Ovis aries: one gene and its partners. The protein of the gene in region 2 purifies or fractionates together with the protein of the main gene of each other region. This does not show direct contact. Links are inferred from orthologs where the notes say so. Each region holds a gene or a part of one and is shown on either strand. Other genes may lie near its edges. The genes, in order: PFDN1, PRKAG3 and PIP4P2.

Evidence for each region.
Region 1: the proteins of PRKAG3 (region 2) and PFDN1 purify together in Homo sapiens (affinity purification with mass spectrometry; 3 studies listed by BioGRID and IntAct, counting the BioPlex papers as one, with this or other methods). This does not show direct contact. The link is inferred for Ovis aries from reciprocal best matches to the Homo sapiens genes PRKAG3 and PFDN1.
Region 3: the proteins of PRKAG3 (region 2) and PIP4P2 purify together in Homo sapiens (affinity purification with mass spectrometry; 3 studies listed by BioGRID and IntAct, with this or other methods). This does not show direct contact. The link is inferred for Ovis aries from reciprocal best matches to the Homo sapiens genes PRKAG3 and PIP4P2.

Annotation. Positions count from the first base shown.
Region 1 is NC_056058.1:49,170,292-49,174,515, forward strand, and holds the start of PFDN1 (prefoldin subunit 1), read right to left. Parts: upstream 2,807-4,224; 5' UTR 2,791-2,806; coding exon 2,758-2,790; intron 198-2,757; coding exon 31-197; intron 1-30. UniProt on the Homo sapiens protein: Binds specifically to cytosolic chaperonin (c-CPN) and transfers target proteins to it. Binds to nascent polypeptide chain and promotes folding in an environment in which there are many competing pathways for nonnative proteins.
Region 2 is NC_056055.1:220,806,489-220,810,807, forward strand, and holds the start of PRKAG3 (5'-AMP-activated protein kinase subunit gamma-3), read right to left. Parts: upstream 2,816-4,319; intron 2,364-2,815; coding exon of another isoform or gene 2,343-2,363; coding exon 2,189-2,342; intron 1,851-2,188; coding exon 1,447-1,850; intron 569-1,446; coding exon 487-568; intron 264-486; coding exon 205-263; intron 105-204; coding exon 59-104; intron 1-58. UniProt on the Homo sapiens protein: AMP/ATP-binding subunit of AMP-activated protein kinase (AMPK), an energy sensor protein kinase that plays a key role in regulating cellular energy metabolism.
Region 3 is NC_056062.1:86,355,783-86,359,306, reverse strand, and holds part of PIP4P2 (type 2 phosphatidylinositol 4,5-bisphosphate 4-phosphatase), read right to left. Parts: intron 2,321-3,524; coding exon 2,230-2,320; intron 1,595-2,229; coding exon 1,451-1,594; 3' UTR 1-1,450. UniProt on the Homo sapiens protein: Catalyzes the hydrolysis of phosphatidylinositol-4,5-bisphosphate (PtdIns-4,5-P2) to phosphatidylinositol-4-phosphate (PtdIns-4-P).

The DNA of each region.
Region 1 (4,224 bases), on a different chromosome or scaffold from region 2:
ATAACCCCCTTAAGGATATACTTTACTTACATTCTTCCTACACCTTCATACATGTTAGTCTCATCTACCAAAGTCATAATCTCTGTATCTGTAAGATGTGCATGCTTTTTCGTTCTGTTCAGCTGTTCAATCTGTACATCTGCAAGCTTCACCTTCTGTTGAGTGTCAATAACTTTGGCTTGAAGCTCTGTGAAGGCCTAAAAAGAAATAAGTCCTTGATTTAGTAGGTGCAACATTTTACAGTAAATGTCTATATCAAATCTATTAAAATGAAGCCTGTTAAACAGACAAAGCCGTGAAATTTACCACAGCAAACATCTCAAAGCCAGTCTGCTAAAAACTTGAGCCCTGAACAATTCAGTGATTAGAAGCACTGACCCTCTGTGCAGTTGAAAATCCAAGTATAATTTATAGTTGACTCTCCATATAGCAGTTCCTTTGTATCCCTGGTTCTACATTTGTTGATTCAACCAACTACATATCATGTAGTACTCTAGTATTTACTATTTTAAAAATCTGTGTACAACTGGATCCCTGACGTTTAAACCAATGCTGTTCAAGAGTCAACTGTACTGAACTTACCCAGTCCTCAGAAGATGCAACCTATCTGAAGAAGCTGAACAAAGGCACGGTAAATAACAACCATATCAAGTAGCAGGTACCCAAGGATTAATAAAAGCTCTAAAGGCAACAATCACAAACCCAGAGACCCAAATCAGGAACCATTAATGTAACAACTCACCACATCTGTACTACTCAAGATTATTTAAAGCACTTTCCCACACTTGTTTGAAATATTAACATGTGAATATTAATATGAGAATACTGACATATAATAAATGTCTCATTTTCTCTTTTCAATAATCCTGAGTTAAGGATGGCAGATTCATCAGCACAGTTTACAAATTAACTAAATGTTTTAAAGAGATATAAATGACTTTCACAGGGCTGAGCAACTACTAGGTCAAAAACCAAGTACTTAATTAACTTCTGACCGCTAGTTACTGAATCTTTCTACTCTACTATCCACAGTAATATTCAGAAAATGAATATTTTAAGAGAAAGACACACAAAAAAATTCAAAGCATTGATAAAAGAATTGCATCATGATCTTCATATGCACACGATAAGCCAAACTTGACCTCTGAGTACTGTTAAAAGGTTTTTGATACTTCTGAAGTGCCTAGAATGATTTTCACATGCTGTCAAATTCTGACTTAATAATAACATCTGTGGCTGCAATACATGGCAAAAAGCTACTAACTTTTATTCTGACTTTGTTCTCACCTACTAGTAAGGTTTCAAAAGGTTTATCTAGAGGGGAGAGGAGGTACCTAAAGTTTCCTATTAGTCTCCATCCCTTCCCCTCCCCCCAAAATTATAAACATTAAAAGACCTTTAAACAAGTTTCTTCTGTAATTTTATTGGTTGACAAAACTACCCAATTTAAGTCTGTAATTATCTTCTTAGTTTGCATTCACTGTCCACAGGTTTCCCAGCAACAGACTGAAATAATACTGAGGGGTAAGTCCATTCATAGCTGTATTCTATTGTTAGCTCTCACTAAACCCTAACTTAAATTTGAACTTTTAACGGAAAAAAAAGGTAAACTTTTAAAACACTTTAAGACACAGTTTGGTAAGGAAGCTAGTATTTTGTTAAAGCTGAGATAATACAGCACTAGACAGCACCATAAGGAGTAAAGGTACAAGTTCCAAACAAAAGGCAATACACACACACAAATCCTCAGAGCAATAATACACTGCTTCATCTATTACGTGGAAGAGCTACTTCAACTGTCTTATTTCTCATGCAAAGATAGATTACAAGACAGTCTTAAACAAAATTTGCTCTTCTAACCTCAAGTAGTGGTCAAAAGGTGGAAAGTGAGGCAGAGAATGCAATATTCTAGAACCAAGCTTGGGCTGACTCTTCTGTTAAACTGTTTCCTTTTCTAGAAAAGTATCAGTTTAAAGTAGATGAAGTCTAGGCTCCTTTCCAATCCCCATTCTCCTTCTCTTCGCAAAAAAAAAAAAAAAAAAAAGGATACGCTTTTGAGTCGGTAGTGGTGTTAGAATCCTGACAACTCTCAGGTGGTGAAAACATTTCTGTGTAACAACACATTTCTAGGCAATTGTTTGAAGAGAGAAACTCAATTCCTTCTGATACCAATTTGATCTGGAAACCTTTGACTTGTTTCTTCTTTGACAAATCTTTAAAAACGAGGGTGGGGAGGGGGCGGTTGTTGGCAAAGCCCTAAGATGAACATTGCTACGAGGATACCTGACTGAACTGTATGAAGCGACCTTACAAGATATGGGATTAAAGAACTGACCTAAAAACAGACTGGACTTGGAGTTTTTCAAAGCAAATTAGTATACAGAATTACAGATGCTACAGCTCGGGCAAGCAGGCTAAGAGGCTCCAACTGGAAGCGCTCATTTCAGGCCTCACTATGGAACTGAAGGCACCAAGAGCAACGAAAGGTCTCTGGAGCTCGGAACAAGGGAACAAAACAGCTATAGGCCCGCCAAACTTAACCAGGCCCAGCCCAACCGGCTCTTACCCGGCAAAGAGCCGCTCGCCCTCGACTCCCGCCTAAGGAGGCCCGGTCCCGCCTTTGCACTCTGAGAAACCACTCCCCATTTCCCTGGGGCCTCTTTCCTTCCGCAGCACTCGAGACTCACTCGACATTATTGTCCACAGTCGCCTTAGCTTCCAAAGAAAAGCTTCTGCCTGCTCAAGACCCTCTTTTACCTTCTTCAACTCCAGATCCACGGGGGCCGCCATCTTGCTTCACTACTGCGCCTGCGCAGTGGGAGAAGCCCGGAAAGAGCGTGGGGGAAGGGCGCGCCCTGAAGATTTGATAGGGCCTCTTCCTTCTGCGCCTGCGCATGAGTGGGGCTGCTTGGTTTTCCTACCTTCCCCGTCGTTATTAACGCCTGAAATAACCGGGATTCCGATTCAGAGTACGTCTTCCCCACGTGACCTATGGGCCTGCCGTGATTCTCCACATCCTTCCAAACACGGCACAATCTGCAGATTTCGTGTGTGTGTTTTTTTAATATAAATTTATTTATTTTAATTGGAGACTAATTACAATATTGTATTGGTTTTGCCATACATCAACATGAATCCGCCACGGGTGTACACGTGTTCCCCATCCTGAACCCCCCTCCCGCCTCCGTCCCCTCGTGTGTGGTTTTAACCACTTCGACAAATAGTTTAGTTTGTGTCGCTAAATTAAGATGTATGTAGATCAAGCTAAAACCTTTAAAGTCATTCATGCCTTCAGCGAGTCCTGTGCTGTCAGGGAGGGATGAGAAAGAATCAGCCTGAGTTTCAGACATGGCAGCATGGAGAAGACCAGAAGGCTTCAGTTCAGTTCAGTCGCTCAGCCGTGTCCAGAAGGCTTAGTTGAAGCGTTTTCCCAAAGAACTTATTTATACTGAATGTTCTCAGAAGACCTTGTAGACACAGGAGTTCTCACGAGAAACCAAATTTCTTTTTAAAAGAAAAAAAAAATGCAGATTCTCTGATCCTCATCCCAAACTTACTTAGAATCTTTGATATGGGGCACAGAAATACATACTTTTGCAAACTCCTTTTATGATCTGATCTAAGTGGACTGCAAACCACATTTTGAAAATCTGCTGTAAAATAGCTGGCATTTGAACCAGAAGGATGACTAGAAGGATGGACATGAAAGAAATGGATATCTTCCTTACTCTAAAAACCTGTGAGGCAGGGGAAAGGGCAGGGAGTTTGGAACTAAACAAATCTGTATTCAAGGTTTGGTCTACACTGAGCGTAGGTATGTCTGCTTCCATTTACTAGTTGTGTATCAACAGAGTCTGTCTCCTCATTTAATATGAGAATAACAGTACTGACCTAACAGAGTTATTCTGAGGAGTAAACAAGATCAGGATGGAAAGCTCCAAGCATAGCACAATGCACACAGTAGGCACACAATAAAAAGGTATAATTAAGTTCATGTAGTTAGCATTGTTATATTTGTCTTTCAAGATACAGCAAGCAGCAGACACATAATATGTATCCATTATGTATTTTTTTTATTTTTTACATCACACAGACCATAAATAATCTCTCCTTGGAATTTCAAGACTACTTCTGTTCCTTTTTCAAGACACATGACACTATCTGTCTTAAAAATTTTTTTTTATTAGACTTATTAGCTGTTCAAATGTCCATCATTCGACAAAT
Region 2 (4,319 bases):
GTCCTTGGCCCCCCACACCCTCTACACAGCCCCTTTGCAGGACCCTTTACCCACTCACCCCTCCAGGTCTCAATCTTGTGTTCTTCAATCTCATAGATCTGGACCTAGAACATCAACAGAACTCCCAAGTCAGACGTGGGCTCCCTGAACTCCCTCCGCCCCAGTCCAGATGGGTGCCCCCAGGACCCTGAGCCCACTCCTCACCAGGGGGGACCGGTAATAGCGATGCAGAACCAAGATGAAGTCTGTGATAGTCAGCATCCCTGTGGGGGTGGGAGAGGGGAGAGAGAGGAGTGGGGTTCACCCCGGGCCCTGTGGCAGAGGCAGGTGGAGGGCTCAGCCCCTTCTCCATCAGCTGGTTACAGCTGTCCCACAGATGGGGGTCTCCCAGCCAGCCTGTTCCCCCCAAGCCAGGGCCCTGCCCCAGAGCTCAGCCCCTGAATCGCCCCACAAGGTCCCCCTTTTCCCTCCCCGGCCCCTCCTCACCCACGAAGCTCTGCTTCTTGCTGTCCCATAGAGGTGCAGCCCGGACGCCGTTGGCCACCAGGGCAAAGAAGGCCTTCTTGATCTGAGCCACAGGGAGAACAGTTGAGGGTGAGTTACTCACCACCCCTCAGAGTCCCCTGTCCTGACCAGGGGCCTTCCAAGGGGCCTTCTCACAGGCCCTCCACTCCAGGAGCCTGCCTGCCACTCGACATGACCCTCATGGGCACATTTGCTACAAAGATAAGGCTGCAGGTGCCCGGGGGCACTAGGTGACCCCTTAACAGGCACACCAGGGCATAGGAGACAAACCTAGTATTTCTACACCAAGGTCCAAAGTGTACAGATGCATACAGGATAATTTGTGCCAATCTAAATACTAGAGGTGTAATTCTCTGATATTTACAAAATATTTTTCTCTAAATATATTTACATTGACTCATTTTGGCCTCATCTGAAGCAATACTATCCATACATGCTAGTTGTAGCTTCGTAACACATATCAAAATAAATGCAAAGCTACTAAATTAAATATATTTTTTCATATACCGCTAGAATCAAAGTGAACCGTGGGTCATAGATATACCTTGTTTCTATTCTACACTACAGTCTGCTGTTCGATACACAGCAAGAAAGAAATGCTTTCTATACAATTCTGGGTGTGAAAAATGCTCCCAGTCATCCTGGATTGGCCCAGGAGTCCTCTGAAACTTGTAGGGTAAAGCAGGCATTCCTGTCCCCATTTTAGAGCTGAGCAAGTAAAAAGACCTACCCCAAACCCTATAGATACTGAGTTGTAGAGCTGAGATGACAATTAGGGGGTGCACACAGAGAGCAAAAGCTCCCCTCCCCTGGTCTCCATGGTGCCAAGAAGGAATTCTGGAAGGAATGTGTAGCCGGGCAGGGCTGGCAGGGGATCCTGGGGGCTGTGAGTATGCAGGTGGGGCAGAACGGCGGCCTCACCTGTAGCATGGTGTCAAAGATGACCAGCTTGGAGCTGGTTGCCATGGCGTCGTAGCAGGTATGCTCCTGCATGAAGTGCATGTAGACCTGGGCCCCTGGCTTCCGCAGCTCATCATCCCAGCCAAGCCTGAGCACCGGCACCTGCGGGGGCGGGCACTGGGCCGGCCTCTCTTCCACCAGGCCGAGCTCATCCCCCCACGCTGCTGGGGCTGAGAACTCTATGCCCAGATCCAGACCGTCTGTGCTGGAGCCGGAAGCAGAGGCTGTACAATCAGCGGGGAGGCTGTCTCGCTCTGTTGTGGGGGTGCCCACCTCAGACAAGGGATTGGCTTGGGCCAAGGGTGTGGCCTTGGGGAATGTGGCCTCCAGCCCGGTGGACTCAGCAGCTGGCCTGGACTGGGGACCTGTTCATGGGGAGAGGACAGTAACTCCATCTTCCAAAGCATGTTCCCATCTGTTGTCTCCCTTCATCCTCAGAGCAGCGTGGGAAGCCTGGATGCGGAGGTCCCCATTTTGCGAGTGAGAGAGCCGAGAGAGTCACACCAGAGGGTGGCTCTGTCCTGAGCTGGCCTTGCTGGGCCCCTGGATCAGCACTGCAGTTGCCCTCTCTCATGTGGGGAAACTGAGGCCACAGGATGTCAAGCGTCTGTGTTATGGAGGGATCCAGGGCAAGGCCAGCTCCAGTTTCGGGGACTTCCCACTGCCCCCAGTCCCATCTCCCCAGAACTGGCCGTGGCCTCACCTCCCTCCAGGCCTGGAAGCTCCCCTTCCTCTACATCCTCCTGGCTTGTCCATCTTGAGACCTTGGTCCTCTGTTCCCCAAGGCTTATTTCTGCATTGGTGGTCATGGCTGGTGATGGCCATGAAGTGCTGTCTCCTTGCTCTAGGAAGCTCATCTCTGGAAGGGGGAATGGAGCCTGTTTGGTTAATGGGAGTAACACAGTAAAACAATTGAAATGTTATTAACAATAATATTCCATATTTGCAAACGTCCAAAGGTCTTTTCCTCCAGTGTATTTCTCATTCAGACCTCATAGCAGTCTTGTAAGGGAGGCACTAGTATCATCCCTATTTTATTGACAAGGGACCTGAGATCAGAGAGGTTAAGCAATTTGCCACAGATCACACAGCTAGCACGTGATTAAGTCAGGAGGCTCCAAATCTTCAGACTCTAGATCCACCCCCCTCCTTTCTTCTTCTGAAAGAGGAAGGAGGAGAGAGGGAAAAGGCGGAAGAAGAAGCAAGTAGGAACAAAGAAGGAAAAGAAGAAGACAGGCTAGTGGGGTGGGAGAGGTTGGGAGCCAGAGACGTGGTAGGAGAGGAAGTGGAAGAAGAGGCTGGGCCCATAAGGAGGGGCAGCCCCACCTACCTTGATGCTCAGGTCCCCCAAAGCTGCTCCAGGAGGGGGTCTGTGTGGAGAAGAGTGACTGAAAGGGTGGGGAGAACATCCTACACTCAGAACCACAGGAGCTGCCCTTCCTGCCACACATACACAACCACACACACCCCCACAAAACTCAAACACCCACCCCCCGCCCCGAACACACATAAACACATTCAACCCACCTAGACACTTACATACACTCAGAAACTCCCATATTCAACCCTCTCCAGACACACACAGGCACATAGACTCACACCAAGAATATACACATGCAGACAGCCTCCTGCTCCTATACACAGAGGAAATCGTGGTCAAACACACCCACATGCACGCACATATCCATGCGGCAGGGTGCTCTCAGCCCTGTGGCCTCAGCTGCCCCAGCTCCCGGCCCCCCGGGACCCCGGTACCCTGCGCAGAGCGTGCTCCAGCTCGGCGGGCTCCATGAGCGAGTGCGCAACACTGTATCTGGGCAGCACTATTCTGGGCCCGGCCCCTGGCACCCTGCCCTCCCGGATCAGGTTCTCTCTGATTGGGTGTCGGGCACTGGGGAGGAAGGGGTCCACCCGCGCAGCTGCTCCAGCCCTGAAGCCTGGGGGCTGCTGGGGAGGTGAGGGGAGGGGTGCACTTGGAATCTTGATGCCTGGTTCTGTGTGCCTCCTGCGTGTCCGATGATGGGAGAGAAGGACCCTGCTGTGGGGGGAGGGTGGGCGCTGGTGTGGGAGGAGGGGGTCTTTCAGAGCCCTGGGGTTTCTCCTCTGAGAGCCCCTCTCATCTTTGTCAGGTGCCAAAGGAGGAAAAACAGAGGCAGTTGAGCTGAACTCTCTTGTACAAACCTGGGTCATGGGTGGTGCTGGAATTAGAAAGGGCAGGTTGCAGCCGGCTAGCAGGTTGGGGCTAAGAGTTTTGTGGGTGGTACTGAGAGAGTGGTCAGTGTGTGTCCAGATGTCACTATTCGAGTCCCAGGGGCCCGTTCTCTAGGTGAAGGATCTGGAACTGGACGGTTCAGGCAGGTGGGGAGTCCTGAGAATCACCTTGACGACGTGTGGTGGGCTTGCACTTGTCTCCAGTGTGACAGACACCTGTTTGTACCTGTGGAGGTAGATCCAGGTGTGCAGGAGCCACTGTCCCCTCGTGCCACTGTGTGTGCTGTTTCTACGTCTCCTGGGGCCAACAGGATCCCAGCTGGTTCTGGTGGCTGCCCACCCACCCCCCCTTCCTTAGCATTCCTGGGGCCTGAGTCAGCGTCCAAATTGGGAATGCTGACCCAGCTGCTCCAGCTCTCCTCTCTGCCCCCCTCCCCTTCTTCTTCTGTTTCCAGCCTCTTCCATCCCGATCTCACCATGGAGTGAACGGATGCTCCGTAATGGGTTACTGGATTTCTTGCTGATTTAGTGAACGTATTTCCCATCATCCCTCAAAGCCCCTGTACTGCCTATGGGGATGGAGGAGGAGAACAGAGCCAGGAAGAGGCTAGCCTGCCACGTGT
Region 3 (3,524 bases), on a different chromosome or scaffold from region 2:
AGTGAATTCCTAGAAAACTACATTGCTTTTTGTCTTTGATCTGTATTTGGAATAAATTTGGTAATCATTTGACCAGCTATCTTTGAGAAGGATGATAAAACTAACTACATCTAATCTTAACATTTTAGCCTGTGTAAAATGTCACAGGCTTCCTTCACATTTCAGTATTCCATATGTGTGTTCTCAGTTGTGTCTGACTGACTGTGACTCCATGGATTATAGCCCTCTAGGCTTCTCTGTCTATGGAATTTTCCAGGCAAGAATACTGGAATGGGTTGCCATTTCCTCCTCCAGGGAATCTTCTCAACCCAGGCATCGAACCCAAGTCTCTTGCATGTCCTGCACTGGCAAGCAGATTCTTTACCACTGTGCCATCTGGGAAGCCCCACGTATTCCATAAATTAAGGGCATGGCAACCCACTCCAGTATTCCTGCCTGAAGAACTTCACGGACAGAGGAGCCTGGCAGGCTACAGTCCATGGACGTGCAAAGGATCAGACACGACTGAGCGACTAAAACACACACACACACCCCAATAAGAAAAATTAACCATGATCTAATGAAAAGGAGGACAATCTGATACAGATACATTTTTGTAAACTGTTAAACATTATGAAACATGTTATGTGAAACACTTTCTTCAAGTTCCATAAAGGAATACATAGAGATGGTTAATATTAAATTTCATAAATCTAGGCCAGAACTTTTATAATTAGAACATTTTCAAACAATGACAAAAATGAAAGACAAAAGTCCTGTGATCTTTGAGAACAAACATTTATCCAACATATCTCCAACGGTGGACAAATAAATATTTTATTCTCATATTTTAAATTACTACCAAAATATTATTTATTTCTACAAACAACATAAAACAAGCATACAGTATCTAGAAATGGTCTTTATCTGACAAGAATGTCAAGTCTTTGAAGGTACACTAAACATATTTTTTTTTCCTGAACAATGTCACTATGATCTTAGGTTAAAGTTACTATAAGCAGTTCAAGCAAAATGCATATTGCTTAGATTTAAAGCAAGCAATTGTGATAGCTTAATTAAAAAGTGAATATAAATGTGAAGCTATTACAGCAATATTTATAAACACTCCTTGAGAATACTCACAGACCAGCAAGTAATAGAATAATTGATTTAAAAATAATGAAAGTGTGGTGTTAGGTATAAAGATGGGAACAAATCAAAAATACCTTTAAGACATGTAAAAGAACATGAAGACCAAGCTTTATTATTTGGAGCTTGAAAACTTAGCAGCAAAAGAAACTATTTGCCTATAATGTAGTACAATAAACATTTGTTCATATAAGGCTCCCAGTCTTAAAACTTCATACATAAATGAAAATGAAATCCATTAGGTAAATGATTTAAGATGTCCAGAGTAGCTTATCAAGAACTGTTAGATACCCTCAACCGCATCACAAGGTCATAAACAAGCTTATGCAAAACTGTGTTCTGGATAACTCACTCTTATGGCTCCCCAATAACAAGCTCGGATAAGGCAGACCAAACCTAAGAGATAAGCAATTGCCCAAGAAACATAGGTTGCATGAAATCGTCTTGCAAAATCTTGGGTACCAACCTAAAATAAAAAGCAATATAAAAATAAAAGGTTAGAAACTGAGAATTTGTGTTGGCTTTTTTGGTGATTTTTATGAAACATATTCCCGAGATGACAAAATATGAGTTGCTGCATTTGTTGACTGACACGGATAGAGCAAAATTTCATAAAATGACATAGCAGATTATGTTAACTATACATTTTATCAAATCAACAAAAATCCCATTAAACCATTTATAAAGGAATTTAATCTATATCCCTGATGCCATCCCCATATTGATAATAAATCTTTGTCTGACTTGAATAAAAAGAAGAATTTTTTAGACCATTGTAGCTGAATGAGTATTGCTTCAGCTCTGGCCATGGCAAAACTGGGGCTGGCACTAAATAAAAACAAATGGGCTTTTTGTTAAATGCGTGATATCAAGAACTTTCAGAGGGATCCCAAGACATGATTTCACCTGGATGGGCAAACTCCGCTGAGAACAAGCCCATGGATTGCCTTCAGATTGCTCAAAATTTTTTAGAAGCTTCTAGCCTGGCATGTCAGGGAGGCAGGTTCTTTAGGGATCAATGAAAGTTGTTCCAAACCTCACCATTTACTACTGATCAAGTTAAGAGGAAAGAATTCTAACAAGGAATAGAGTAATACTCACAGTTAATCCAATCCCAATGAAAATACATATCATTCCAATGGTAATATATACACAGCAGCGCCTTCGAGGAAGTGCACTACCCACTGAAGAACTGTAAATTTCATGAGAACAAAAAAGAATATTAAGTATGAACATGAAGGTTCTCCATATCATCATTGTGAGTACTAATTCATGACTTTAGTAACATATATATGCTTCCATTTATTTCTTCAACTTGAGAGACAAGAACGTGCATAATAAGAATGATATCTGGGGGGACCTCCCTGGTGGTCCGGTGGTTTAGAATTCACCTTTCAATGCAGGGGACGTGGGTTCAACCCCTGGTCAGGGAACTAAGAACCCACATACCGCAGGGCAATTAAGCCCTCGAGCCAGAACTAGAGCAGTCTCCAAACTGCAACAAGAGAAGCCTGCTCCCTGCAGCTAGAGAAAGCCCATGCACCACAACAAAGAGCTTGCAGGCCACAACGAAGACCCAGTGCAACCAAAATAAAAATAAAAAAGAATGATATTTTTAATGAGCTATCTAAATCATAATTAGTGAGTTTGTGTTGTAGTGACTCGTTGTAGTTTTAAACAAGATTCAAGTCTTGGTCATTGACAATATCCATAAAAACCCACAATAGTCAATGATTATTTTCCAAGATAAAATTTTATTACCAAAAAACTCTATTTCAGAATGGAAAATAGGTTCTATCTTAAAAATAGCATTTTTTTCTCTTACATTTATAACTGTTGGCATATGTTTAGTGTAGAAAATAAGAATAAAGAATAAAAAGGAAAATTACCTATAATTCCACTACCATGAATACCACTGAACATTTTGCCTATTTTTCTGCAGCCATCTTTTCTAACTTACCAATTTAGCATAAGCATTTTCTTACATCATTAGGTATTCTCAAAGTAGAATTCTGAAAGATGAATATAACATAACTTAATGAATTCCCTACTATTGGACACTTAGCATTTTCCTTCTTGTAAATAACGCCAGCCAAGCTTCCTTGGTGGCTTAGCTGGTAAAGAATCCACCTGTAACGTGGGAGACCTGGGTTCGATCCCTGGGTTGGGAAGATCCCCTGGAGACGGGAACAGCTACCCACTCCAGTATTCTGGCTGGAGAATTTCATGGACTGTATAGTTGAAGTGGTCACAAAGAGTCGGACACGACTGAGTTACTTTCACAAGCAACATCTAAAATCATTCTGCTTTTTAAAAAGTGGAAGTAGAGGTGATTTACAATGTTTGTTTTTTTTAAATTTCTGCTGTCCAACAAAGTGACTCAATTTTACATATAT